7 linked regions of the Oryctolagus cuniculus genome follow. The protein of the gene in region 7 interacts with the protein of the main gene of each other region in a biochemical or structural test. Links are inferred from orthologs where the notes say so. Each region holds a gene or a part of one and is shown on either strand. Other genes may lie near its edges.

Region 1 (3,500 bases), on a different chromosome or scaffold from region 7:
ACTTGAAAAGTCATTTTGAGCTACAAAGCTGGGTAGGGAATAGTTTGTTCTTCAAAAGCATCTCCTGTGTTATCAGCTGATTTTGTTAACACTTCTTGACTGACCATCTATAGGAAGTGGAGGAAACTTGTGGCCCATTCAAAGTAAAGCAGCATGGAAAACACCTTCACACTCCGAATACAAAGCACTGTATAGTAATTACTTCCCCAGACGTGACAGAGAGAATAAATACTACCCAGAAATAAGCAAGTTTGCAAGGAAAAGCTAGTGAACAGTTACAACAAAGAAAGATAAGGCCACAATGAGTTCTGCCCTTGATCACAGATTTCAGGTGTGAGGCAGGATTCATTTACAGGAGAGGAGTGAGTGACTGGAGCAGATCTGAAAAGGCGAGATATATATTTCTTTATTTATATATAGTATAATGCAGCCTGGGGTGATTAAAAAGGCTTGCAGTAAGAGAAAACCGCAACAACATAGATTTAACCACCTCGTGTGTTACAAAGGACTTTCCCCTTGAAAACGGAGGAAAAGGCAATTTGCAGCTGTTGGGAGCAGTATTTACAGTGGCAGAGTCTAAGCAGAAGACAGATGAAGACAGCAAAGCAGGGGGAAGGCTCCTAGCAAACGACGTCTACAAAGTCTAACGATGGAAACGTCTGGAAAATAGCCCAGGGCAGCAGAGACGCGGGGACGCTGCGGGAAGTTACAGTTTCGCACTCCTAAGGTACTTGTGGCTCTTGTTTTATGGGACAGTAAAAGCTTACCACGATCTAGAGGTAGATTTTACTCTAAGAAGGATGATTGTATTACTAGACTGCGTCCTGTGACATTTCTCACATGGCTCCTGTACTACTGTCATCCAACCAGTCTGCTGCAATTTCTAAGCTGAACAAAAGGCAGAACCAAAGTGCGAGAAGGGCAGCAACGTCCCACCGGCAAGGTGAGCGTGCGGGGCCGACACACGGCCCCGAGCGCAGGCACGCAGCAACCGAAAGGGAACGTCTTCTGAGCAGGAGACATTGGCAGAGGTGCTCAGTACTGGGGAAGAGGAGACCAAAAAAGGCAGAGAGGGAAACGGAAACGTGAGTTACATTTGCATTTGTATAAACTTACAACTATCTGTTTCTAAAGTACTGTCTTCCAGCTATTTGAGTTTATCACCTAATAAAAGCATCTTATGTTTGAAGGTTACAATGATGTTTTGGCCTAGGCTACCAAACAAAACAAAATGAAAACAAGAGGTAAAGGAAATGAAGCATGCTTCCGGCTGAGATTTTCCTCATTCTACCATAAGGGCACTATTACCAATTGATAGCAAATAATAATTCTCATGATAGCAATTTTTTTCCGTTTGCCAACAAGGCAGAAAAGACCCTGCTGAATGAAATCACTGGGAACATTCCAAGTTCAAAATAAAACGTTTAACTTACACATAATACAAGTTATGTACAATACTGGGGCGGGGAAGGACCTGAACACATTCTGGAGCACACAGATGTATTTACGTACGGGAAAAGGGGAGCCAACACTTCAAATACCAACGTGTTCTGTGCCATTAACTCATTAACTAAATGGCCACAGTGAATCCCACGTCAATGTTAGAACTTCTTGGATTACTGCTATAAATACAATTTCTTAAAAAAAAAAAGGGGGGGGGGGACGCGCAGAAGAACTCCCACAGTGTTGAGGACAGACTCTGGTGACGTCCACTGCATGTGGCAGGCAAGGCAGAGGCATTTCTTTTAAAGCTTTTGCACAGACTTCATTTAATCTTTAAAAAAAAAAAAAAATGCAGGCCTTTACAAGATTTGACTTGCTGAAATCTAAACGATTCCAACTCACGGAAAGTCATTAAGACTTCAGCTTACGAGAAAAAAAGAAGTTCCAGCCTTGGACCAAAAAACAAAACAGAACAGAACAAAACAACCTGGAATATGGTAATCAGCGATTAAACAAGCACGGTCAGGCTTGGAACCTGCATGTACTTTAGAGCAAAAGCTCCAAGGGGTGGGAGAAGAGCCTATTTGGTAACAAAGTGTACTATATATTGCGATATAAAAAAGGCATGGTGAAAATGTACCTTTTACTAAAGCTTATACAAGTTCCTTGGTCCGTAAAAACTAGGTTAATTTTTGCCTTCTAGTTTGCTTAACTTATATTCCAGCCACATATCTATTTCTGGCCCATTTAAACAAAACCAACCAAAAAGCAACCAACCAAACAACACAAAAACAATGACAAAAAAAAAAAAAAAAAAAAAAACAGCCAAAAATTCGATTCCAATAGTTTGTACATTTGGATGTTGTTTTTGTTTTACTGTGGCTTCTGCATTTCAAATCAGCACTTGCAGGTAACGGGGGCTTTGAACAGGATCACCTGGTATGAAAAGTTTTCCCAAGAAACCACAAAAAGATTGTTCTTTTTTTCTCTTTCCTTTTTCTGTCAACTTTTTGCCACCCTCGAGTCAGTTAGGTCCCAGCAAAAAGACGGTGGTTAGGACACCACGGTGGCTGCCGATGTGACGCTGGCCGCGTTGGTGCTGGCGTTTGTGTAACTTCCCTCGCTGTTTGTGTTGGACTCGCTGGGGGGCACTTGGCTGGAGCTGGCCCGGAGGATGGCTCCCGCCGCGCTGCAGTGAGGCCGCGGCCCTGGCTCTGGCGTGTAGGTAAAGGTAAGGCTGGTGGAATAAATGATTCCATCGTTCCGGACCAAAGTTACTGGAACCTGGACTGGCTGCCGGACCCATCGCCAGCCTTCTCGGAATGCAGAAATGTCTGGGACGACACAGAGCATGCTCTCCCCACACCTGTGAGGACAAGGAAATCACTTAAAAACCGCAGTGAAAACAAAGCGTGTTCCAGAGACTTCACAGAAGGTCATTTCATCTAACACAAGCACTGTCAGGACAGAACCTCAGTTCCCACACACACACACACACACACACACCCACGGTGACAGGCGAGTGTTAACAAGTACCTGTACATGGTTTCCGCTTCTACATCCCCAAACCACACTCGTAAATTTGGAGTGAAATTCTGGCCTGTGAGTTCAAGCATTGCTACGTCTCCGCCGCCGTTCAGCTGCAAGTCACAGCAAAATCGCAACACTCAGAAAACCCCATTTTTCATTAAAGTACACAAATTAGATTCTCATTCAACTGTCATTTCACTTGTGAAAGCTTGTAAAAGGTTCTGCTTGACAAACGCTTCTTTCAAATGGCACGATTACAAAGTTCGCTAAAACACTTCATGATTAAAGTGCAAGGGGATTTAAATTTGCATTTTCTTGCATGCAAGTCCCTCCCTCCTGTTTTCTTCTTCTTTATCAATAACAGAAGTAGAACAAAAACGCTAAATCACAAGATTTGGGGGCAGTTAAAATTACTGTGGAATACAATTATGCTGAGCCCCAGTCAAGAGTGGCCGCACAGAGCTCATGGCCAGCGTGGGAGCGGTCTTACCTGAAGACTTTCTACGACAGGCACCGGGGTGACTGGG
Region 2 (4,139 bases), on a different chromosome or scaffold from region 7:
TACTTACATATTTCAGTGGTAATTTTGAAAGTTATCCCCCAAGAGTTAATGTACTAGTAGGCTTTTGGATTACTTACCTAAGTACACAAAATGTAGCACTCTGAAGTTACTATTACTCTATTTAAATAATCTCACCGTGTAGAATGTACATGTTTGAAGACTGGTAATGGGGCTCCATAGGGCTTTCTTTAGTCCTAGGCACTCTTGCTTTTGTGTCCCTCCTCCACTAAAAAGTTAGAATTTGTCTATGCATTTCTATGAAAACGTAATTAAGACTCACTTTTTATTATTTTTACAGGGCTCCCATCTGCTCCCCAAATGCCGCAACGGCGTGGCTGGGTGGGGCCAGAGCCAAAGCCAAGTTCCTGGGTTTTAAAAATAAAACTTTGATGAGCTGCTGAGTGTTTCTCAAAGTGCAGCCTCCTGGTACCTCTTCTTTTACCTTTTCACGTGTTCCTAGCGTTGCCTGCCCGACCCTCTGCCACACCATTTAGTTTTACTTTTCCTGGTATCTATAGCAGTTTTAGAGTGACTTTTACCCAACAGACTACGCTCGCAGTCCCGGCTCAGAAAGTCGGACTCCACACACTTCCGCCCATCTGCCGGTCTTTTTTTTTTTTTTTTTTTTTTCGGAAGTAACTCAAACTTCGAAAAGTTGTTCAGACTTTGTACATAAGTGGAAGGTGGCAGGCCCAGTGACGAGACGGTGCAAGATGAACCCTCTACCAGCTCCCTCCTGGGCCGCTCCGGGGCTGGATGCGAGGGGCGAGGGAGGAAACCGGCCGGCACTGGAACAGCGTGGCTGCTCAGCGCTCTTCGGCCGGATCCCGGAAGGCGGAGGGGAATGGGGAAGCGCTGGCCGCTAGGCAGCCGGCTACGCCGCTCGGCGTCTATCCCGCTTCCCCCGGGGACCCGGAAGGGCCTGCCTTCGGGGGCGGCGTTCAAGAAACCTCTGGTCACCGCTAGTACGGACGCCCGTCAGTCACACTCGGCTTGGCCTCCAGGTCGCAGGCTCGCCCTAGCGCTCCGGCCCGCCCCGAGCGCTGGAGTTCCTTTTAAATACCACTCGGGAGCCCCAGCTCGCCCCTTACGTGCTCGTCTCCACGCCCTCGGGCGGCCGGCTCCTCCTCCCCTCATTGGCCAGAACCTCTGTCCGTCAGCCGTGACGCGCGAGGTCGCCGGCAGCGGCCCGCCCTCTTCCGAGAGCCCCGAAAACAATTTTAAGATGGCGGCGGCGGCGGCGCGGAAAACAATGGGGTCGGGGCGGCGGGGACAGGCCGCGGCCTGAGGTGGGCAGCGAGCATCGGCCTGGGGTCGGGCGGAGCGGGCAGGAGGACGGTCCGCCGCTGCGCGCGAGCCCGCTCCGCAGGCCGCAGGAGCATGGCGCGGCCGTGAGGCAGACAGGGGCCGCGGCGGGGAGCGCAGCGCGCAGTGCCAGCCGGCCCCGAGAGGCCGGGCCCTGGGCCCGGCCCGAGCAGCCCGCGGCTCATGGTGCTGCCCACCTGCCCCATGGCGGAGTTCGCGCTGCCACGGCACAGCGCGGTCATGGAGCGCCTCCGCCGGCGCATCGAGTTGTGCCGGCGCCACCACAGCACCTGCGAGGCCCGCTACGAGGCCGTGTCGCCCGAGCGCCTGGAGCTCGAGCGCCAGCACACCTTCGCCCTGCACCAGCGCTGCATCCAGGCCAAGGCCAAGCGCGCCGGCAAGCACCGGCAGCCGCCCGCCGCGGCCCCGGCGCCCGCCCCGGCCCCGGCCCCGGCGCCCGCCCCGGCCGCGCGCTTGGATGCCGCCGACGGCCCGGAGCTCGGCCGCCCGGGCGCGGTGAGTAAGGCCGGCTGGAGGGGAGAGGACGCGGCGGGGAGCCGGGCGGTTGTCATCTCCGGGAAGTGGCACTGTGGCCTCACCGTCGCCCTTTGCGTGAGGCCCGGGCTGTTGAAGGGTTGGTTTATTTTGGAACCGACTGGCAGTCAGGTCGCCGGTGCGGTGTGGACTCGAAGCACAGCAGGCCTGGCCGCATTTATTCTTCAGATGTTGATTGAGTCTTTGGGCTTTGCAAGGTCCCGAGCTGTAAGTAGGGTCAGGGCTTTAATATGGAAATCGGTCGGCCTTCAGTTTACCAAACTGCTTCTGAATGGGAAATCAAAAAATCTTTCTTTGACTTGCGTTGTTTAGACCGCCCTGAAATTTCACTGTGTACCTAAGATTCCTGCGGAACTGTTGACAACTCCAGTTTTAACTTAGGAGGCCTGTTTTAAATCTCTCTGTTACATGGTTGTTGGTAGATTGGTTGGTTTCCCAGTAGGTGTTCAATGAAGTTTCTGAGTTAGAGGTTTGCTCTGTTTTCCTCCCTGAAAGGGATTTACATAAAGGGAGAGAAGGGCATTTTTGTTCGTGGTTTTCTTGGACATTGACAGTTTAAGACAAATGTTACCAGTTCGGCGTGTTCAGTGTATTCTAAACGCACATCTTTATTATCTCAGGGAGACTGTGGTGCCACTCTTCCTGCCGAGTCTTCAGGCTCTTTCTCCCTTCCTCTTTAAATTCTGGAGACTTCATTTGCTGGAGGGGGAGAGGGCAAACTGGCGTGTCTTTCAGGACCAGTCTGCCCTGACCAGCCTGTGGTGTCCCCTGCAGAGCTTCTGTTTGGGTGCTCTTGCGCACCTCCTCCTCTCCAGCACCAGCCCGGCTGCTGGGCTTGAAGAAAGAATCCTGAGTTCGCAGCCCACTTCGTTTGCTTATTGTATCCATTGGCCAAGTCATCTCCTCCTCGCTTTGCTCTCTTGTAAACTGGGAGTCTGTTGGGCTTCTTATTTCCCCAAAGGGTCTTGCTAAATTCGAAATAAATGAGTAAGGATGTGAAAGTATTTCCAACACTGACCAGCTGCTGTCTATTTCTTGTCCGCACTTTTCAGAATCCCGCCATCCTGCCGGGCCCATCTCATCCCCTTCCTGCTTTCAAAGTGGATTCTGACCACCCTGGCCCACAGCATTCAGGATCTCCTTTGTCAGAACATTTCGGAAGCTGGTCTGGGATATGTATTTTTAGCTCATAGCCACATATTTAGGTCACAACTTGCAACTAGACTGTAAGCTCCTGAAGGCATACGGGGAGTGACCCAGCACATGTTGAGTGAATCACCTTAAACTTGGTGGTGGTTTACTTCCTAATCCCGCCGCCCATCCGCTAGCCTCAAAAAGCAAAATGACTTAACTTAGTGACCCACCTATACTGACAGTTCTTGTTTTAAGGAAAGCCCTAAGAGTAGTGAAGGAAATAATAAAAGCTCATAAAAAATAGTTTTATGTGCAAACAGTTGCCTTGAACCTCCCCTTAAAAGTTTAGTAGTAGTGATTCAACTTCTGTTTGAAGGCGGGGGTCAAATGATTTTTTTTTTTAGTCGTGGATTCCTGAAGGGAACCTAGGTGTGTGCCGTTTGAGGAGAGATTAATCCTGAGTGTGTTAGACTGTATGTCTGGCTTGCTGGTCATCCTTTTGGGTGTTAGCTTACTGTGTGACCACAGTAAGCCCTGACTCTCGACTGCCTTGTTGGAAACCCTAGAGTAGGAATTGCTGTTTTGAGTCTCTGCTAGGAAGAGGGCTCTTTTTCTTCGCAGGCTCCCGGTGATTATAGCTGAGCTCTTTGGCCTTGGAATGGGATTGTAGGAACAGAAGGTAACTATTGCAGAGAAAACAGTGGCATTTTCCATCTTGCTGGCTCCTTCAGTTCAGAGCCAGGGAGAGTCCTTTACCAAGTAGGGTCTCAGCTTGCAGAGCACAGCTTTGCACAGAGAGGTGGGAAAGAGAAGGTTCCCCTTTCAGCCGTCATTATCTTCTGTGACTGATCTAATCAATATTCCTTTCATAAGGAAGTTCTGATTTGTTTTTCCCAAGTGTGCGGTAGTCATGTCACAGCCAGGTACTGAATTAGCAAACCATCTGTGTGCCTGAAAAGGGTGCAGACACACTGTTGTGTTCACCTTCACTTGAGGTTACTGGCTTTCTTCTTGGGATACCCCTGCGGCAAAGTCTTGACCACCGTCTGCTGGAGATGAAGCAGGGACAGAGCTTCAGGCTCTTTTCTCTCCTCGTTGTCAGGGAATGAGCCCAGGAGGTTTTCTTTATACTCTGTGCTCTTTAA
Region 3 (4,276 bases), on a different chromosome or scaffold from region 7:
GCCAATTAACCACCTATACAAAACAACCGTCCCACTAAAAGACAAATCAAGGAGAAATTTGCACAGCTGTTGATTCATATGTGCCCATATGAATGTGAATCCTGCTCAATCTGTAGACAGAAGAGCGTAATTTGAATATTTACTCACTGTTAAACTGCTCTCTCGACTCTTGCAGATCTAACTTCCTACAGCAGTCACCTCCTTGAAAAGCACATCTACTAGTATGTTCTGAAGGTAAGATATTTTGAGCACTCATCAAAAATCTGTATAACAACACAGATAGAATTACTTTAACTTATGGTTTTAAACTGTGAACTACTTTTCTACTCTTTGAGTTCAAACTAATTGAAGGTTAGGAAGTAACCACTTCCCCCCAGAAGCCAGAACTTTCGCCTCTTCTGAACAGGGGAATATCTCACTTCAATTAGGTAAAAATAAGGGTTTGCTGATTGAATCATTGTCCAAGATCCATGTAAGCTGCCAACTGTTTATCTAAATTTCCTATCTAACACAATGGGCAATCCCTCAAAGTCAGGGCAGTAACTTACTTCATCCACTACCTGGAACTCTAAAAACAGTAGCAAAAACAACCTGCATAAATATTAGTTACTCAATCTAGTTTCAATTTGTTTCAAGGAACAATGATAAGAGAAATGCAAGGACTATGATCAGTAGATCTATAAACCTGCCTATTTCAGAATAACTGAGCTTTAACCAACTCCAACTCAGTCATCACAAATGATATTGTTTAAGTGGTAGGAGTAAAAGGAAGTGCAAAGATCAAAGGAGTGCTCACAAAGGGGAACAAGACCATTTTTATGGGTATACTCCTCATTTTACTGAGTTTGAAAAACAGGAGCATCTACTCAGCCCACGTGAGGGCCAACTGTAGCACAGAAGATAAAACTGCAATTTCAAAACTAGGATAACAGATTTGCAAATCACCACCAACTCCTAATAGGATTATACTGTTTTCTTAAATATGTTCTTCAAGTAGTTTAAAAGTGGTACACTTTCCACAACAAGCAGCAGTTAATTTCCAGCATTAAAACCTACATACAATGAGTCTTCTGTGTTCAAGTTGGCCTACTAGGCTGCCCAAGAAGACATTTTACCTAAACAAGTGAAGGAAGGCATTGAGGAGTTGCAGGTATATCAATATGGATGAACAGTTTTATGAGATTTCCTGTTTCCATTTCATACACATATACACACCCTTCATTTTAGGAATTCAATTCCATGATAAATGTAAAATGCCAAAAGAAACACACCTCTTTTGATTTCCTATCTTCCTGAGCTCATCAGCTCAAAAAGCATTTCACTTTATTTACCTAATTTCTTTAGTACATAAAACAATAGAAGGATTCATCTCTAGAAAGCACAATATTAAAATCAAGAAAACAACATACTTCAGCTAAGGGTTTTATTTTAATTAAGTTTCCTTCTTAAAGTTCCAGCACACACTAATACAGTTAAAACTATTCAAGAATATTCAGTTGAGGAATCCTGCTAGAAAAATAATTATTGATAATTTTGTTTTCAAGTATTAGTATTTACCAAAGATCTTCAGTTTGTAGAAAAACATTCTGATGCTAGAACTATTAAATATTTTAGCAATACCATAACATTTTTCTCAGATTATAAGCTTTATAAGAAAACCTTGGAGTTAAACAATGTTATTTCATAAGCTGCAATGCTGAAAACCTCTAGTTAAAAGATCAGAAATTGTCCTCAGTCTTGATAACTAAATCCTAAATCATTAAGTACCAGTTAAGTTGCAGGATAGGCCAAATTAAACACGTCCATCAGAGTCTATTTTAAAAGCTCATAAGAAAACTTATCTTTAGAATAGTCTTGGTTTATATCATGAGTTTGGTTTTCGAGGTTAGGCACAATGCACGATGCCACTGTCCAGAGCTTTACATAATCCAGTGAAAAGTGCTCTAAGTGTGATTTCTCATCTTTCTCTAACGCCAGGCCCTGGAGGATGAGTACCAGGCCCCCATTTTTTGAAAACTAATGCGCAGGTCCAACAGCAGGTGAACAGATTAGGCCCTGTCGCTGTGTGTGTGAGTGTGCGTATGTATGTACACACGCCGGGCACTTGTGGGAAGCGAGGGCTTCTCTCTTTCAGAAGTCCAATAGGGAGGAATAGGCTCTCCTGTTTAATTCTGGGAAGCTGGGGAGGGCTTTTCCAACCTAGAGAACTGACAAGCACTTCTGCTTTCATTTCATGGAACGCCCTTAGGTGAAATCTGGTTCTGCACTGCACCAACCACCTTCCCCGATCTCCTCCGCGCCGCAGCGTACCCCAAACCTCCAGACACCCCCAGACAGAGACAAGGGGTGTGGATTAAAAAAAAAGTTTCCAAGAGTCGCTTCTGGTACCCGTGCTCGCCGGGCAGCGGGGCTCAGGAGACTGGAGGGTTCCGGCGGCCGCGGCCCTTCGGCCGCACAGCCCCGCGCAGTCCGGATGTGCCTTCCCCCCAGTCGCCAAAGCCCATGTGCCTCTCAACTACTGTCAACCTCCTCCCACGGTCTGGCCCAGCGGTTAGCGCAGGAATGAGGAAGGCCAAGGGGGCGTACCGGGGCTGCGGGCCGGGTGGGCGGCGGGACGCGGCCCCCAGTCCCCAGCGAGGCCCCCACTTGCCCGAGTTTGGCTTACCCTGGTGGCGGGTCCGCGCGCGGCCTCCCGGCGCCTAGGGGCTGCCCTCCGGGGCGGCGCGGGCCTGCGCGCTGGCGAAGGAAGAGGCAGCAGCCGGCTGGAGCCGGCGCCCGAGCGGGCCCGGGTGCGGGTCGGAGCGCGGGAGCAGGCGCGCGGTCGGACCGGGCCGGGCCCGTCAGCGCCGCGCCATGTCCGCAGCGCGGGCGGAGGCAAGCGCGGGGCGCTCGGCAGCCGGGCGGCGCTGCACCGCCTTCCTGGCCCGGCGGCTCCGGCCTGGGCTGCGCCGGTCTGTGGGCACGGGGAGGCAGGCGGCGTTCAGGCCAAGGGCGGCGGTGGCGGTGGCGGCGGCTGGAGGCCCGACCGACGGGAAAGGCAGGGGAAGCTGTCAGCGCGTCGCCGGGCCGCTCCGGTGGCGAAACCTCCTCTTCCTGCCCGGCTCGCTGGTGCACTTCTCTCTCTTGCTCTCTCGCTCACTCTCTCACTTCCTGGCTGGAAATTCCCACTGACGTCGAGAGAGAAGACCGACAGACGGACACAGGCGCGCACGCCGCGGGGGCGGGAGGTGGGGTCGCCGCCGGGGGTGGGGAAAGCCCGCACTTGTGGAGGCGCCCCGCGCCCCCGGTCCGGCCTGGCGGGGCGGCTCGGCTCCCGCCCCTGGCGGCAGCGTAGAGACGCGGAGCGCGCTCAGGCGGCCTTGGACGCTCGGGTGGCCTGCAGGGCTCTTGCTGCTGGCCCGGCGCTCTCGCAGCCTGGAGGGCTGGGGGCGAGCGGGGACGTCCCCAGGAAGCGCCTGCGGGCCCGAATTGTCCGGGCAAGCAGGCGGCGGCTGTGGGAGCGGGCGGTCCGGAGTCCTGAAAGGCAGGCCCGAGCAGCTGGCGGCGATGAGGGGTCGGCATGCATCCAAGCCTGCCAGCTACAAAAATAAATCTCATCTGTATGTTCCATTTAAGTCCGTCTCGGTTACACCCGAATCTCCTCACAGAGTAAACTGGAATTCCGATAGCATAACTGACTTAGGTCCAATGCAGTAGGAACATCTTCTGGGCGTTGGCGAGGTCTTTAATCTCCTGGTTTTGCGCCAGTTATTCACAGCTTCCACCCAGAGCTACGGTCGGGCCTTTTGATGATTACCGTGGATAGAATGAGAGTGAGGGTGGCAGCGATGGTTTTGGTTCACGGGTCATAGGGAAATCTTGATTTGGCAGAAAGGAGTTTTTCTTTTTACCTTTCTTCCTTCCTTCTTTCCTTCTTTACTTTTTTGCTGGGTAGACTGCTACTGGCCCCTGCAGACGGGCCTCCCCTTGACCACCATTCCTGGATTTGAGCTGCTGCCCGCACCTGACACTGCGCTAAGCACGGGCTGGGGAGACACTATGGTAGGTTAGCACCCCAAGAAAGAACTCTGAGGGGGGGCAGCATCCCATATGAGCACCTGTTTGAGCCCCACTGCTCCACTACCAATCCAGCTCTTTGCTAATGCACCTGGGAAAGCAGCAGAAGATGACCCAAGTATTTGGGTCCCTGCCACCCATGTGGGAGACCCCAGTGGTCTTCTGTGACCACTTGAGGAGTGAGCCAGTGGGTGAAGAACTTTCAAAACAAATAAATAAT
Region 4 (3,500 bases), on a different chromosome or scaffold from region 7:
TATCTGTGAAAGGAAGGAGGAGGAGAAGGATAACGAACTAAGGGGGCTGAAGGACAAGTCACGCCACAGCCAAGCCCTGCACATTCCCGGCATCTCAGCATGCTCAACTCCATGGGCACCGTTTTCCGAAACATACAGGCAGCTCAGTGAGCAGGGGCCTCCAGACAGTGCCTCCCCATGTGGTTTTATGGCCTCACTCACAAAGCTACTTAGGGGACACGGGGAAGAAACTTTTACAGAAGAGAGGGACCATCTATACTTGTAGGACTCCAGAACATTCCAGAACAGGCAGGGAGGCCCAACAAGATCTCGTAAATGGAACATGACCTCAGTCTCAGGTCCCAGATGTAGTAAGCCTTTGCCAGTCTCCCCAGTCTTCCCCTTTCTGGTTAAATGACTCCTCCCACCCCACCCCCAGGCTGGGCAGTGGCAGCTGTGGCCCATTCCCCGATGAGAGGGGTCTTACTTTCATGGCAGTATGTTCCCGTGAAGCCTTTGTTACAGTCACAGGTGAATTTGCCTCCCGACTGACTCTTGCACTTCCCGTGGGGACCACAGACGTTCGAGGAAATATACCGCACCCCTTCAGGCGTGTCGTTGGACGCCATGGCCACTGTGCAGCTGTCAATCACTAGAAGACAGGCTGGGGATCAGATCACAGCCAGGGACATGCACAGACATGGCTTTCCTAAGCCAAGGCCGCCATAGGCCAAGCCCTGTTTCCTGGAGAGGAGTGCCCTTTGGCTGAAGAGGGGAGAAGCACTGGGCGGCAATGTGCCCTGTCGCGCAATGGCAGGTGGGGCCGAGACACCTCGTGGAGATTGTTTTCTTAAAGCAGTCTCCCCCCTGCCTGTGGGCTCCTTTCATCCCACTCTGGCATGTGGTAAATGCTTGCTAAGGAAAAAACCTCCTCCCTCCTTAATCTCGCGTCAAACAAGACGCAAGGACAAACCTGCAGAAGCCTTTAAAAGGTTGTGCCGCCTACTACAGCAGCCACGGGTCATAAGTGGCTACTGGCATTTAAATGAGTTTCTAGTGACACTAGTTCACATTTCTAAATGTTCAGTGGCCACCGTGGCCCGTGGCTACCACACCTGATGACACAGTTATGGGACATTCCCCGCTGTTGCAGGAAAGCTGCTGCCCTGAGGAATTCAACTTGGGGTTGCCAATCAGCCCACCCCAGAACAAGAGTGAGAAATGGATTTCACATGCTCTCCCCTGGGCTGCCTGTAGGCAGGGTCCTCCCACTGCTGGGCCTGAATAGATTGTTTCCAGGTGTCCTGACTTCCCTCGGCAGGCAGACCATGGTAGTTTCAATCTGTCAGTCCTCCTTAGCTCTAGGCCCTTTCTGGCAGTACCAAGGAGAGGTGGCGAATTGGGGTGAAAAAGGACGAAGTCTGGGGAAAACCGGGTTCTGGGGGCCGGGGGTACCTTCACAAGGGGTCGTGCGGCAGTGGTCTTTCAGATGCGAGCAGTTCTTGCCCTCATAGTCCTCAGGGCACTTGCAGAAGTAGTCGCTGGCACGGTTGTAGCACTGGGCACCGTTCTGGCAGGGATTGGGCTCGCAATAATCTATGTCGAGCTGCAAATGTCAAGTGCAGGGAAGGAGGGAGGGGAAAAAAAAAAATCAAAGTAAAACAAGCGTCATGGCCTCTGCTCTGGGGCAGGAACATGACCCTCCATCTACTTCTATAAAGAGACACCATGTGTCGTATGTCCTAGGTCCAGGTATGTATTTGAAAAAACAGAGCAGAGAAGAGCACGCGCTGAGCCGGGGGGTGATGGAAATGGAACACAAGGCCAAACAGTATGGGCTACAGGCCTGAAGCAGAGAATCCTTCATCAACCTCTCCTGCCAGCCAGCATCTGTCTAGCGGAGCTCCTAACCAATAGGACGTTAGACACCACGAGACTCCAGACACGACAGTCAAGAGGGGGGCACGGAGGAAGAAGGGAGGCGGCAGCGCTGTGGCAGCTTGGCCGTCTGAGGTTTCATCAGCACTCACCTGACAGAGGTTTCCAGAGAAACCAGTGGGACACAGACACTGGAATCTGTTGATTTCATTCTGACAGTGACCCCCATTCAAACAGGGGTTGCTGGCACATTCATCGATGTCTTTCTCACAGTGGTTGCCTGCATAGCCAGGTGGACAGATGCAGTGGTAACCATTCACCAGATCCTGGAGGGGCAGAAGCGGTAGGAACACATGCTGACTCTGTGATCCAGACACAGGGCTTCCCCGCCTGTTCGCAGGGCCACTGCCGTCCAGCTAAAGCACTCCTAACTGCCTGAGGCCATAGGAATCTCTATGTCTTCAAAACGACCCCCCCAGGAGGCCAGGGAATGCGAGCCCCGGGAAACATCCAGAGACCCCCTCTCCACCTGCATTTCTCAATCTCAGGGGGACAGAGCTCTCCCTGCATCCCATATATCTTGAGATCTGCTGTCAATCACCCAAAGTTTGGATTCAAGCAGAGGTCTACATACCCGACAGGCGGCGTCATTCTGACACTGGCCAAGGCAGTCATTGATATCTAAAAAGTAAATAAGTCATCACATTAAAGAGGCAAGTTTTTTCACAACTTCTATAAGGGAACAAATTTCATATATACAGATGGAGATGCACAGTGAGGAAAGAGATTTACCCTGAAATATAGCTTCACGGAAAAGCCCCCTCAGCTCGGGACAGACCAAAGTTTCCCACCAAGGTCCCCCTGTGAGATGAGGCTCCCCCCCCACCACCACCACTGCTCCAGACTCAGGGAGTGAAACAGCACACCCTTGTCCCAGCCACCTTATCAGACTACAGCCAGGTTAGCAGCTATGGAGCCCGACAAAGCGTATGCTGGCACTGCTGCACTGACCACGACCTCTCCAAAAACATCCCCAGTTTAAGTGTTCCTTCCATGGCTCAAGCCTCAGAACTGCAGCCCAAGCAGGGCTGGGCAAGACCCTTCAAATCCCCCAAGTTCTGGGGGAAACCAAGTCACTCACTTATGTCACAGTTCTGACCCATCCAGCCGGGAAGGCAGTCACAGTAGTAGCTGGCAATCAGATTCTTACAGGATTTGGCATTTACACAAGGTTTGGCCTCACATTCATTTGCATCTGAAAGGAAACAAGGATGACCACTGAGACAGAGTTCTCTCCCCCACCTGCCCCCCCCTTGGAAAGAAACACCACAGAGTTGGTGTGAAATAAGAGACCCTTTAATAAGGCAGCACAATAAGAGGTACCAGGCTCCTCTATTGTGACCATCTGAGCCCCCTCCCTTGCATTGTCCAGGAAGGAGAGCTAATTGATAACTTCCCAGCTGCTGGTTACCAACCGGCCCCGCAACAGAACAGCAGAAAGCCACCAAGCATTTCTGTGCAAAACCCAGCACAACACTAGTTGCTGGGATTTAAATGTGCCAAAAAGAATGCAGACAGCTCATTCCTCATGAGATCATCCCCGTTTGGAACCCAGCTGAACGCTCCTCGGACAGACGATTGAC
Region 5 (4,045 bases), on a different chromosome or scaffold from region 7:
GCGCTGCCCCCCCGCCCAGCTCTTAACCCAGCCAGTACTGACAAAACGGTCCCGGAAAGACCTCTGCGTGACCACACCGATCACCAGGAAAAGTGCAGCCCAAGCACATGCGAGTCTTTGGAAACGACACCTACACTGCTGAAGTGGCACTAAAGTGACAGATGACAGTAATCCAGCGGCCCCAGGCCAGCAAACTCCACCGCAGACAGATTTGTCTGCTTTGTGCCACGGTGATTCCTGCATGTGCGGCAGTGAATAGAAGCGGGGCAGCCGCGTGCAAATTCAAGAGCAAGCACGTCCTAACCCTTCACTCTCCAGCAGGCCAGCAGGAGCGGCGCCCTCAGCAGCCAGGCTTAACGGGGAAGCAGACCTAGCAAGAGTCACCTACAGGTCTGAAATCTGCATTAAAAATATATAAAAAATAAAAAAGCAAGAGGCCAGTGTCACGGCGCAGGAGGTAAAGCCATCGTGTGTAATGCCAACTTCCAACATGGGCACCGGTTCGAGTCCTGGCTGCTCCTCTTGTGATCCAGCTCCCTGCTAACGGCCTGGGAAAGCAGCAGAAGGTGGCCCGAGTGCTTAGGCCCCTTTACCCGTGAGAGACCCAGAAGAAGCCACTGCGGCCATCTGGGGAGTGTCCAACAGTCGGAAGGTCTCTCTCTCTCTCTCTGTACATCTTCCCTTTGCTCTCTGTAACTCTTCCAAACAAATAAATAAATTTAAAAAAGAAGGCAAAACGAAATAGCCTCACTGTAACTAATTCGAGTGGAGACGACCCCGGTTCCCCCACCCCTTGAGTGTGTTCTGAGCACGGCATGTGCCCACGCCCCCAGGTCTGGGCTGAAAGCCGGCGTCCAGCCTCAGGGCCACGTCCCTTCCCCTGACAGCGCTGGAACACGGGCCCGGCGTCTGCTCTGGAGAGGAACCCAGAGGGCAGGGGGCCACGCTTCTCTCAGGGCCACTTCAGAACACTCTGGGCCCAGCCACACGGAGGACAGGCCCTGGATGGGGGCCGCTGGCACCAGACACGCCACGCCCACTCAGGTGACAGAGAACACACACCTGTGGCATCGCATCTAGTCTCGGGATGCGCCCTCTACATACAGTCAGTACCCCAGCACACTGCAGGAATGTCACCACACCCGGCGGGTCCCCACAGCCCCCAGGGGATGAAGACTGGGGGGGGGGGCGCTCAGCGCTGTGAGGCTCCGGGGCAGGGAGGCGTCAGCCAGGCACTCGCAGGTCCCTCGGGACCACAGACACTCATGGAGCAGACACACTTACTCTTCAACAGGGTTCAACCCTCCCAAGCCAGCGGCACTCAAAATGTTTCCAACTTCACTGCTCCACTTCCGCGCAGGGAATGGGCTCAACCAACACTTCCCAGTATGATGGAAACAGGCTACAATCCACACAAAACTGTAAAACTGTAGCCTTAACAAGTCGGTTGTAAAGGAGGCTAACTGGGGCTGCTACTGCGATAGCTACCTCGTACCGGGTCAGCCTGCCTGGCTCGGGGCTCGGCGATCGCTGCTGAATGAATGACGGGGCCCCAAGCGCCCAGACTCTCGGGACAGCGTGACCGAGACCCGGCCGGTCCAACAGCCAAACCCTGCTCAGGACGCCACTGCTTCCTTCCACCACTCTCTTTTAGACAGGAAAGGAAGAGGGGTCCAACCGCGCTCGGCCCCGAGGCGCAGGTCAGTCTCGCGCTGGCCAGAGGCACAAGTCCCGGGCCACGGACGCAAAGGCCATCGCCAGGAGGCACGCGTGGCCTCCGCGAACGAGCCCGGGCACCGAGTATAGGAAGTGCGGGAGCCTCTGTGCACGCGAAGCCCGCAGAAACGCACGCCAGGCCTCCCGGGGGAAAAGCCCGCGACGCACCGGCTGCCCGGCGACCCGAGTACCGGGAAGTTCCGACGGCACGCCGGAGCGGGCGCCCCAAGAGCGGAGCCCCCCGAGAGGTGCTGTCCGTGCATATTTAAGGAAAGGCCCGCGGCCCGCCCGGGGGAGCCGCCGCCAACAAAGCGGCGCGGCAAGGCGGGAGCTGCCCCGCCGCCCGCCCCGCACCTACTTTGTGCCGCTCTCCCACCTCTCATTCAGAGGCGCGCGGCGGCCGCCCAGGCGCCGGCGCCGGGGCCCGGGGCTCAGCCGGCGCCCAGCCCGGGGTCCACGGCCGGCGCGACCCCCAGCCCGCGCCCCGCGCCCCCAGCACCTCCCCCCCGTGCGCGACAGGGGACCCCCGCCGCCGCGCCCCCCGCCGGCGCCGCCCCGGGCCCCGCGGCACCCGCACGCCCGCGCCGCTGTCCTCAGCGGCCCCGGCCCCCGGCCCACCCGCGCCGGCGGGTCCCGCGGGGTCCACGGCGCTGGGGGCGGCCCGGGGGCGTGGGGCGCGGGGCGCGGGCGGCGGCGGCAGGCCCGGGCGCGCCGACGGCGCCGCCAGAGACCCCGGGGCCGCGCCGCGCCCCGCTCGCCCCGGGAAGCCGCGGGGCCGGGGACTGGGGAGCGGGAACCGGGCGGCGGCGGCGGCCCCGGGGCCTAGGCCCGGGCGGCGGGTCCCGCGCCCTCCCCCACCCCACACGCTCGCTCCCGGCCGCCCGCGCCCGCGCGCGCTCCCCCAGGCTCGGGCCCCTTCCGGCCGGGGGCGCGGGCCGCCGGCTACCTGCGGGCTGCGGAGGGCCATGGCGGCCCGTTTGAATGGGACTCGGCGCGGCCCGGCGGCTCACGCTGCTTCCCCCGCCGCCGCCATCTTCTCGCCCGCACATACACACTCGCATCGGCCGCCGCGCCTGCGCACTGGCGGCGCGCCGCGGGGCGCGGGCGGCCGGGGCGCTGCTGCGCGTGCGCGGCCGGCAGGTGGGCGTGCGCGGGCGCCTCCGGCCGGGCCGGGCGGCCGCGGGAGCCGGGCCGGTGGACTGTGAGCCCCGCCGGCTCGGGCAGGTGCGGGCCTGATGGGGAGAGGGCGTGCAGGTGCAGGGGGAGCTAGTGCCCCCAGCCCCCGGGGCCCTCGCTGCTCCAGGAGAGTCTCCCTTGGCTGATCAGACCCCCGAGGAGGGCGTCTCCAGATTAGCGGAGTCGCCCTCCCGTGCGTTCGTTCACTGCTTCCCTCGCGGTTCTGCCGGGGCCCTGGCTCCGAGCCACGCCTTACGCGGGCATTGCAAACCCAAAGCCAGAAGCACCGAAGCCAGGCACACAGGTGAAGCGCCTGCCGTGAGGCCTGGCCACCATCCTGGGTCCGGGGAGCCCCCCGAGCGCGGGCTGCCACCGTGTGTGCGGCTGTCACGCGCCCACGGGGAGCCCGGGTCGAGCAGCCCCCGGTGATGCATCCTGCAGCCGGCGCAGCCCCAGTGGCCGGGCAGTGTGCGGAGGAAGCGCTACAAAGACGCCGCAGTGAGATACATTGGGTCTCGGTGGAATCCCCAGTGTTGCAAGCTGGTGTTACTGTTTGTTTTCAGGATTGGTTGTCAGAGTTACAGAGAGAGAGAAATCTTCCATCCGCTGGTTCGCTCCCCAGATGACCCAAGCGTCCAGGACTGGGCCAGGCCGGAGCCAGGAGCCAGGAGCTGGATCCGGGTCTCCGACATAGGGGGCCCAAGTACGTGGGCCGTCTTCCGCTGCTTTCCCAGGTGCATTAGCAGGGAGATGGGCTGGAAGTGGAGCAGCCGGGACTTGAACCAGAGTCCCTGTGGGATGCCCGCTGCTGGCCCCTGCGGCTTGTTTTGTGATAGACAGATCAGAAATCGGGTTACATATAGATGATGAGTGAATTACTGCTGACTTTCATCACGTGATGATGATGTTGAGCTTGTGAAGAGAATGCCCCCAGGCCAGCATTGTGGCGAAGCTGGCAAAGCCACCATCTGCAAGACCAGCATCTCATATGGGTGCTGGCTCCTGTCCTGGCAGCTCTACTTCAGATCCAGCTCCCCACTAATGGCCTGGGAAGAGCGGCAGAGGATGGCCCAAGTGCTTGGGCCCCTGCTACCCATGTGGGAGACCTGGAAGAAGCTCCAGGCTCCTGGCTTCAGCCTGGCCCAGCCCTAGC
Region 6 (4,143 bases), on a different chromosome or scaffold from region 7:
TAGATCATGAAAGTTATCAACCTTATAAGTATTAAATGAAAAAATTCCTGAACCAGCTGGCATCCTGTCTGTTGCATGATTTCTTCAGTCTGGGTTAGCTATCTCTACCTCTGTTCCCATAAGACTTTCTGTGTGCCGGCACCACAGCTCACTAGGCTAATCCTGCGTCTGCGGCGCTAGCACACCAGGTTCTAGTCCCAGCTGGGGAGCCGGATTCTGTCCCGGTTGCTCCTCTTCCAGTCCAGTTCTCTGCTGTGGCCCGGAAAGGCAGTGGAGGATGTCGCAAGTGCTTGGGCCCTGCACCCGCATGGGAGACCAGGAGGAAGCACCTGGCTCCTGGCTTCGGATCAGCGCGATGCGCCGGCCATAGCAGCCATTTGGGGGTGAACCAATGGAAGGAAGACCTTTCTCTCTGTCTCTCTCACTGTCTATAACTCTCTCTCTCACTCACTGTCTATAACTCTGTCTCTCTCTCACTCTATCTCTGCCTGGCAAAAAAAAAAGACTTTCTGTGTATCTCTGTGTTTCATCACTAGAAATATCCACCTCACTGCAGTGCAGTCATCTATCCTCACACAGCACCATCACAAACTTTGAGGCAGGGCCCACGGATTTAACTTCTTTCATCCCAACTTCCCAGTAACTGTCCAGCTAACAGGGGCTCCTTAAAGATAGAAAATAGCTCACTCGATACTTCGCACTCATCATCCTGATGTCCCTACAGTCGTGTCATCTTTCCCTAAAAAGACATTGCAGGAGCTTTACCTTTGCTATTCCTTCTACCATGACATAGTCTATTTACTTACTAAAAGCAATTTTCCTTTACAGCAAACTCTTCCCCAACTTTTTAGCAGCCTGCATTTAGCAGCGCATCTCTTTGCTCAACTAATTACACCTTCCTAAAGTTGTGACCACCTTGTCCAAAAAAGCCACTTGATTCCAAACTTGGAGTCACCCTCCAACCCTTTACTGTCTTCCCAGTACCTGGTACCTGAAATGGCATTATTGATTTGTTTCACTCATATAACCAGAAGGCAAGCTCTGCACAGATAGGAATGCAAAAGTATAGGAAAAAGTTTCTCACTCATCAACCAATACAACACACCCAACACTTCTGACACCAGATGTGGGGGGAGTTTCCAGACATTCAGGTAATGTCCAATTCAATTCAATTCTGACAGATCCTGAGGGCTGTCTTGCAAGACTGCCACACTTCAGATACCAATTTCAAGTGTGCTCAGGGTATACTCCTCACCCACGAGGTATAAACTGGGGTTCCACAACTCCCTCCTTGAGTTCAACTGGCTAGGCCAGCTCACAAAACTCAGGGAAACGTTTACCGATTTATTATAGAGGACATTAAAAGTATACAAATAGCATATGAAAAGCAACACAGTTGCTAAGACTGGCCACTTAAAGACTGCATTCTGCCATTGCGATTTTAAGCACACAATACCCTCAACATCCCTGGTATTTTCCCTGCATATCCACTTCAAATTCTAACTTTTTCTCTTGACCCTACTTGTCTATGTCACAATGCCTCGCACCTACCTGTAACAGTTTCTAAAGCAAACTCTTTGATCCACGCAGTTCTCTTCATCTAATTGCTTTTTGCACTAAGACTATCATCTATGTAAATGAGCACTTTGATAGTTGTATGCCTTGGGCCCCATCTGCGTTGCAGCTAAAGACAGATCTCCTGGATACGTAACGCCTGAATACAGCAAGGCACTCAACGTCATTCCCAAAAGAATGGTCGCGTAAATTTTTTTTTTTAAATTCAGTGTCATCGGCCTGGCTGAAGACGCTTGAGGAGAACCAAGCATGGTCAGGGAGCTCAAGCTCACGCCCTAAAATGACAGCTTCCTTTGCAGCCCATTTTTTCACACTCGACTTTTCCAGATGAGTTCGCGGGGAAAGTTTGCCTACTTAGACCGGGCAGCCAGGTCACGCATAGGGAATTATGTAACTTCTCGGAAGCTCCCGCTTAGAGCATCTTTTTCTCCTAAAGGAAGGGAGCGCTTGGCCTTTGGTTACCAAGGCAACCGGGCACAGCAGCGCTCCAAGGTGGTTCGATTTCACCGAAGAAATTCTAAGGTTCAAAGTTAAAAGTGCGGAGCGCTGGCGCCTATGGGGACACAGCGGCCCCCACTGTGGCTAACTGAAGACTCCCCGATCAGTTCCGGATCCCCCTTTTCGGGAAGCTTTGTTCGGGGCGACAGAGTGGATAGAGAAAAGGAGAGAGCCAGAAGCGAACAACGGCCGGAGCGTCGCGCAGTCGCGTCCCGCGCGCTTCCCTCCGCCCGCGTAGGCAAGCCCCGCTCCCCACGGTGCCATCGCGTCCCGCGGAGCCGCCGACCCCAGGGCGCGCGCTCCACACACCCGCAAGGGGCTTCAGCGGAAAACACGTGCCGCTCTCCAGCTTCTGCGGTCCCGCCGAGGGTTTCGGCCTTGCCCAGGGGCCGAATTCAACCCAAGGCCGCTCAGGAAAGACCCCAGCGTCGGGGAGGCCTAGCCGCCGCGGCGACCGGCGGGAGGCCCTCGCCAAGCTCTCGGCTCTCTTCTTCCTGTGTCCTAAGCCAGATCCCTGGCTGGAGACGACGGGGCAGAGACATGAAAAAGAGGGGCACTACCAGACCCTTCCGTATCAAGGACCCAAATCAACAACCCACCTGGTGAGCGCCATCTTCTTCCGCTTCTTCTAACGCGAGCGACAGCGCCGCGGGGCGGGTCTTTCCCGGCAACCAGGAGCGAAGAGGGCAGAACCCGCGATGCGCAGGCGCCGCCGCCGAAAAGCCTTCTGGGACTTGTAGTTGTTTAAACGTGAGTACAATTCGGGTCTCTTCTGACCCGTGGGGTTTTACAGGACGGCCCCTGAAGTCAAGAGTAAATGGCTAACTTGATTACTCGTTTACTGTCACATGACAGGACATTTCCTTGGCTAAATAACGAGGGTGGGGGGAGAGGCATTTTAAACGCCTTTATTTTATTCCCCCGCTCAGACCCATTCACCTAGAAGAGGTGTCTAAGTATAAGAGGCTGCCCGAAGCAAGTTGAGTGGAGGACAATGGGGTTTCTGAAACGGTAGGAAATCGTGAGACCGGAGCGTTCTTGGACGCTCTGAGAACATTCACAATCAGAAAACTGTTCTTGAACCAGTACCCTTTCTTCCCCAAACACTCCTGGGGATTTAACTGGGATAGTTCAAACCGTTGGTAGAAAAAAAGGGAATTAAAATATAGTTATTTTATGCACCAAAAAAAATTGAAATTTAGACAGTTTTTTTTATAATAATATACATTTTCCATGAACCTCTTGAAGACCCACTGTATTTTTGTGTTCTTTAGCAAGTCACTTTGAGAATATTCCTTATGTGTATAAATATATATGTATATACCTACATACATTATATATATATGATTTAATATATTCAGTAAGATTTATAGGAGGCCATTCATTTGGACTGAGCTTCTGAACAAAGACCTGTCAAAAGTCAAAACTGTGACAGATTTAGTTTGAAGATCTAATCAGGGTTCAGCACTGTGGCATAGTGGGTTAAGCTGCCACCTGCAGTACAGGCAATGCCGGTTCAAGTCCCAGCTGCTCCATTTCCAATCCAGCTCCCTGCTAATGCACCTGGGAAAGCAGCGGAGTTTGGCCCAAGTGCTTGGGACTCTGCACCTACGTGGGAGACCTAGAAGAAGCTCCTGGCTTTGGATCGGCCCAGCCCCAGCTGTTATGGCCATTTGGGGAGTAAACCAGCAGGTGGAAGACCTCCCTCTCTGTCTTTCCATCTCTCTCTGTAATTCTGCCTTTCAAATAAAAAATAGATTATTTTTTCAAAAAAAGATTTAATTAGCTTTTAGTTTTGATTAGCTTTTAGTTTTTTTTTTAAGGTTTTATTTATTTAAAAGGCAGAGTTACAGAGAGGCAGAGGCAGAGAAAGAGAGGTCTTCCATCCACTGGTTCACTCCCCAGTTGGCCGCAATGGCTGCAGCTGCGCAGATCCAAAGCCAGGAACTAGGATCTTCTTCCCAGTCTTCCACGCAGATGCAGGGGCCCAAGGACTTGAGCCATTTTCCACCGCTTTCTCAGGCCATAGCAGAGAGCTGGATTGGAAGTGGAGCAGCCAGACTCGAACTG
Region 7 (4,162 bases):
GGGAACCGGGAGGCAGGGCGGCCCACGGGGGGGGGGGGGCAGTGAGAGTCCCCGGACCTGCGTCCCTCGGAGGCCCTGCTGCCCAGGGGTGGGGGCCTCTGCCCACGGCGCTTCCGTCCTGCCTTCCAATTGGCTCTGGGGGGTGGCGTGGGCACAATGAGGCCTCTGTGGCAGAGCTCGGCTGAGCGCCAGGCCCAACTGAGGCAGGCTTCCCGCCGGGCCCGGGCAGGGGACTCGGGGGGCGCGCGCCCGGCACCGCCCTCCCAGGAAGGTTCCCAGCCCTGGCCCGCGGAGCGCCGAGCGCCGAGGCAGCGAAGGGCGTAATTAATCACTCGGCATTAATCCGCCTCCCCAACAATAGCGGCTGCGCGGCCGCTGAAGCCCAGCTGTCGGCCCCTGAATGAAAGGAAACGAGATTTAGGGCCGCCAGCGTCCGCGAGGCTTCTGCACGGGCAGGGCAGCCCCAAAAGCCAGGGGGTAGAGGAGCCGGCATGCATTCATTAGTGCCTGACAAAGACACAATCCGCTTTGTCCATTAAACTGCACGCAGACGGCCTAATTGGCTTCGGCGTGGGGGGGGCTGCCGGCCCACAGGCCGGGCACCGGGGCGGCAGGAGCCGCCGGGGTTGCCACGGCAATGGGCCCTTGGGCGGTTGGAACGAGGGCGCCCACGGCTGGGGAACTCCCTCCGGTTCCAGACGCCTCTTCGTTATTCTGGTCAGGGACGAGCTGAACTTGACGGGCGCCGGCCGGGGGCCGACGGGGGGCTCCCGGGCAGGCGGGCGGCCGAGGAGGAGCACATTCCAAGACATCCCGGCCTCCGCCCGCCCACGCCACCCCGAGTCTGGGAGGTCAGAGGCTGCAGATGCCGAGACAGGAAGCAAACTCCCCGCAGGCGGCCCCACATCCCACAGCCCCAGGAGCTGGGTGCAGCCCGGCACCCCGGGCCCAGGGAGGGCTCTGGGCCGAGCAGGGGGTGGGTTTTGTTTGGAGCTGTTTCCTGCGCAGGGGAGGCGGCTCCCCGGGTGACACAGTGGGGGAGGACACACAGCACCCCCCCACACCCACCGTGTCCCAGGGTCTTCAGGAATCAAGGGGCGCCAGGGGTCGCCCCTCGACCCCGAAGCACACTGAGACCTCCAGCGGCCAGACCCGCGTGCGGCATAATTGCTGGTGATTAAGTAATTGCCAGGCTGGGTCCAATAAAAGTCAGCACGTGACCCAGCCGGCCTTCTGGGCTATCCCCAGAAGACAATGGCCCAGTGTTCCGGGCCGCAGCAGGCAGGGGCTCGGCTCCCCACCAAGGCAACAGGTCCCCGGCGCGACGCGGCGGTACTCACACGCAGGCCTCCGTGCCGTTGGCCACTTCACACCTGCCACCATTCATGCAGCTCTCCCCGGGCTGGGAGCATCTCGGGCCTGGGGAAGTGGGGGAGAGAGGGTGGTTACCGGGGCTTCCCGAGGGCCCACCCCTCGATTCCGGGGCATGAGCGTGGGGTGGGGAGCGGCCGGGGCCACAGCCCGCCCCGATGAAACCCGGGGGCTTCAGTGCTCTGGCCCAGGGTCTGTGCCCAGAGGTGGCCAGGCCTGGGAACAGGTGGGCGAGGCCAGCAGGTGAACTGGTGGGGAGGGGCAGCTGGAGCCCCCCCCAAGCTGGGTGCTGGGGAGCCCTGGAGGGCGGGGGCCCCGTCCAGCCACCCAGATTGTCTCGTGCGAACGCGATCTGCCAGGGCAGCCCCCACTCGTGGGAAAATGCGACAGCTGCGCCCCCGCCGCCCCGCCCGCCGACAAAGCGCCAGGCGCGGAATCAGAGCGGCCCATTGTCGCCGGGGCCGCCTCCGGGGCACGGGGACAGCGCCCGGGGCCGCCCCGCCTCCGCCGACACCCAATACCTGCCCCCGCGGCGGGCGTCTCCAGGGGCAGCCCCGCCACGGCCCCCGGAAGGCGGCTGCGGAGCGCGCGCGCGCGACCCCCGCGCGCGGCTGCCACGGGACGGGTGTGAGCTGGAACCCACTTTTTGGGAGGGGGTACCGGACAGGTCATTCTCACGCCCCGGAGTTCCCGACGGGAGCGCGCGGGAACCAGCGCCCCAGCCCGCGCGCCGCCCCCGCGGTTTCCAAACTTCAGCTGCGGAGAGCGACCGAAAACTCCAGTCCCGCCAGGCACGGGGGAGGCCTCGGCGCATCTCCCACCCCCACGCACCCGCCCGCGAGCCGGGCTGCGCGACACGCGCCGCGCGGCCCCGGACCCCGCGCCCCGCGCCCCGACATCCGGGCGCAGCAGAGAACACAAGCGGCCCCGACAAGCAACAGGAAGCCAGAGGGACTCGACTCAAACCGAGAAGCGGCGGGCGGCCGGCGGCGCGCCCCGCGGGGCCCCCACGGCCCCACGCCCGGCTCCGACCCCGACCGCGGAGCGGCGCCCCGACGAGGGGCGAGCGGCAGGGGCCGGGCCGCCGCTCCCTGCCCCTCCAGGGCCCGATCCCCCACGCGCGCCCGCGCGCGAAGTTTCCGGGGAACGCGGGGAGTTGCGGGCCGCGGCGGGCGGGCGCCTACCTCTCGCGGCCAGCGCGGGCAGCAGCGCCAGGCAGAGCAGGGGCGCCGGCAGCGGCCGCATGCCTGCCCGTCGGCTGCCCGCTGCCCCGGGCGGCGGCTCCCACGCACACGCGCGCCCGACGGTGCGGCGGGCGGGTCCCGCTCCCTCCCGGCCGGCGGCGCGCTGCGCTCTCGCAGTGTCCGGGCCGGCTCGGCGGCCGCTCGCCCCTCCGCAGCGCCCGCGCCCCTGCGCTCCCGCCCGCGGCCGAGGCACGAGTGAGGCGCGGGGCCGCGCCGCGCTCCGCCCCCGCCGGGAGAGCCGCCCCCCGCCCCGCCCCGGCCGGCCCCGCCCCGCGATCCCTCCGCACCCCGCGCCCCGTCGCGGGCCGCGCGTCCCTGCGCGCGCGCCCCGGGCGGCCCCGCGCCCCGCGGCCTGGGGCGCGCGTCCGGAGCCGGGCGCTGGGCGGCGGGGGGCCGCGGCGGCGCGGGGCGGGCGGCAGCGGGCGCCCGGGGACTACTTCTCGCTCTCAAGTTTTCGGAGGCCGAAAGTTTGAGCCGGGGCTGCGGAAGGATCCGCCCGGGCCGTCGCCTCGCGCGGCGACAGGGGGGCGCGATTTGCATCTCAATAGCCGAGGCGGCGCGGGCGTGGCGGGGCAGCTCGGTCCGGCGGGGCGCTGGGCCCTCGGAGCTGGGCCGGAGCGAGGCCTGGCGCGGGGCTCGGTGCGAAGCCTGGCTGCGTGGTTGGCCCGGCGGCTGCGCCCTCCGGGGCCTCGAGGGTAACAGCCCGGAGGATGGCGCCCAGACCCCCCACCCCCAACCCCGGTCACGATGACCTTGAGGGCTGATGGCGCCGGGGCCCCTGGAGAGAGGGGCCAGGGCCTGGCGCGGGCACGCGGTGGTGCAGGGAGACCCGGGGCTGTCACGCGCACAGCTGCTCCCACGTGTCCCGTCGGGCGGCCGGTTTTCCGCGCGGCAGTGCTAGCGCGTCCCAAGTGTGCCTGCCTTGGCCAGTTCACGCCGCAGCCGGGGCAGGGGGGCGCAGAAAGCTGGGAGCCGAGCGGGGCAGCCCTGGCCCAGGGGGGCGCACGCAGGCTGGCGCTCTGCGCACCTGACCCGCTGCCTTCTCTGGGCACACCTGTCTCCGGGAGACGCGGCGGCTCTGCGGCGGGGGGCCCGCTCCTGCCTTCCCAGAGCCAGAGCTGGGGTAGCACCTCGGGGTCAGCGCCCCGGAGGCAGCGCCGCCATGTTTATGTAACAGAGCCCTGCAGCCCATAGAAGGAAGAGCCGGGCTGCGCGGTCCGCACCCGGCGCCGCCCCTGCTCCCGCCGGGGTGGGGAGGGGGCCGGGGCTTCCGCTGGAGCCCTGCAGAGTCCCTGATCCCTGGGGCGGCCTGAACGGAAGGAGGGGAGCCCTGGCCTGGGGTCCTCCCCAGCGCTGCGGCCAGCACCTCCACTCTCAGCCTCTGCCCTCGGCCGGCAGGGAAGAAGGTGGCAGACCACAGACAGGGCCCTGGGTGTGCAGTAGGAGGGAGGCCCCCAGGGCCTGGGGCTGGGGCACCCACGTGGCAGGGGCTGGGCCCTCATCCACGCAGGAATGAGGCTCTGCGACCCCCGAGCCCCTCTTTACGG

The links.
Region 1: the proteins of NOTCH1 (region 7) and RBPJ form a complex in vitro, tested with the Homo sapiens proteins (5 studies listed by BioGRID and IntAct, with this or other methods). The link is inferred for Oryctolagus cuniculus from reciprocal best matches to the Homo sapiens genes NOTCH1 and RBPJ.
Region 2: the proteins of NOTCH1 (region 7) and MAML1 form a complex in vitro, tested with the Homo sapiens proteins (2 studies listed by BioGRID). The link is inferred for Oryctolagus cuniculus from reciprocal best matches to the Homo sapiens genes NOTCH1 and MAML1.
Region 3: the proteins of NOTCH1 (region 7) and NFKB1 form a complex in vitro, tested with the Homo sapiens proteins (2 studies listed by BioGRID). The link is inferred for Oryctolagus cuniculus from reciprocal best matches to the Homo sapiens genes NOTCH1 and NFKB1.
Region 4: the proteins of NOTCH1 (region 7) and JAG1 form a complex in vitro, tested with the Homo sapiens proteins (3 studies listed by BioGRID and IntAct, with this or other methods). The link is inferred for Oryctolagus cuniculus from reciprocal best matches to the Homo sapiens genes NOTCH1 and JAG1.
Region 5: the proteins of NOTCH1 (region 7) and USP10 form a complex in vitro, tested with the Homo sapiens proteins (2 studies listed by BioGRID, with this or other methods). The link is inferred for Oryctolagus cuniculus from reciprocal best matches to the Homo sapiens genes NOTCH1 and USP10.
Region 6: the proteins of NOTCH1 (region 7) and SNW1 form a complex in vitro, tested with the Homo sapiens proteins (3 studies listed by BioGRID). The link is inferred for Oryctolagus cuniculus from reciprocal best matches to the Homo sapiens genes NOTCH1 and SNW1.

What each region holds. Positions count from the first base shown.
Region 1 is NC_091433.1:21,378,279-21,381,778, reverse strand, and holds part of RBPJ (recombining binding protein suppressor of hairless), read right to left. Parts: coding exon 3,464-3,500; intron 3,084-3,463; coding exon 2,980-3,083; intron 2,810-2,979; coding exon 2,497-2,809; 3' UTR 1-2,496. UniProt on the Homo sapiens protein: Transcriptional regulator that plays a central role in Notch signaling, a signaling pathway involved in cell-cell communication that regulates a broad spectrum of cell-fate determinations.
Region 2 is NC_091437.1:67,743,013-67,747,151, reverse strand, and holds the start of MAML1 (mastermind-like protein 1), read left to right. Parts: upstream 1-1,339; 5' UTR 1,340-1,488; coding exon 1,489-1,821; intron 1,822-4,139. UniProt on the Homo sapiens protein: Acts as a transcriptional coactivator for NOTCH proteins. Has been shown to amplify NOTCH-induced transcription of HES1. Enhances phosphorylation and proteolytic turnover of the NOTCH intracellular domain in the nucleus through interaction with CDK8.
Region 3 is NC_091439.1:62,714,509-62,718,784, forward strand, and holds the start of NFKB1 (nuclear factor NF-kappa-B p105 subunit), read right to left. Parts: upstream 2,801-4,276; 5' UTR 2,666-2,800; intron 1-2,665.
Region 4 is NC_091442.1:35,571,291-35,574,790, forward strand, and holds part of JAG1 (protein jagged-1), read right to left. Parts: intron 3,113-3,500; coding exon 2,999-3,112; intron 2,539-2,998; coding exon 2,492-2,538; intron 2,184-2,491; coding exon 2,010-2,183; intron 1,586-2,009; coding exon 1,435-1,585; intron 632-1,434; coding exon 467-631; intron 4-466; coding exon 1-3. UniProt on the Homo sapiens protein: Ligand for multiple Notch receptors and involved in the mediation of Notch signaling. May be involved in cell-fate decisions during hematopoiesis. Seems to be involved in early and late stages of mammalian cardiovascular development.
Region 5 is NC_091449.1:66,213,584-66,217,628, reverse strand, and holds the start of USP10 (ubiquitin carboxyl-terminal hydrolase 10), read right to left. Parts: upstream 2,801-4,045; 5' UTR 2,684-2,800; coding exon 2,663-2,683; intron 1-2,662. UniProt on the Homo sapiens protein: Hydrolase that can remove conjugated ubiquitin from target proteins such as p53/TP53, RPS2/us5, RPS3/us3, RPS10/eS10, BECN1, SNX3 and CFTR.
Region 6 is NC_091451.1:23,450,505-23,454,647, forward strand, and holds the start of SNW1 (SNW domain-containing protein 1), read right to left. Parts: upstream 2,801-4,143; 5' UTR 2,687-2,800; coding exon 2,673-2,686; intron 1-2,672. UniProt on the Homo sapiens protein: Involved in pre-mRNA splicing as component of the spliceosome. As a component of the minor spliceosome, involved in the splicing of U12-type introns in pre-mRNAs.
Region 7 is NC_091432.1:236,551,944-236,556,105, reverse strand, and holds the start of NOTCH1 (neurogenic locus notch homolog protein 1), read right to left. Parts: upstream 2,801-4,162; 5' UTR 2,617-2,800; coding exon 2,556-2,616; intron 1,420-2,555; coding exon 1,341-1,419; intron 1-1,340. UniProt on the Homo sapiens protein: Functions as a receptor for membrane-bound ligands Jagged-1 (JAG1), Jagged-2 (JAG2) and Delta-1 (DLL1) to regulate cell-fate determination.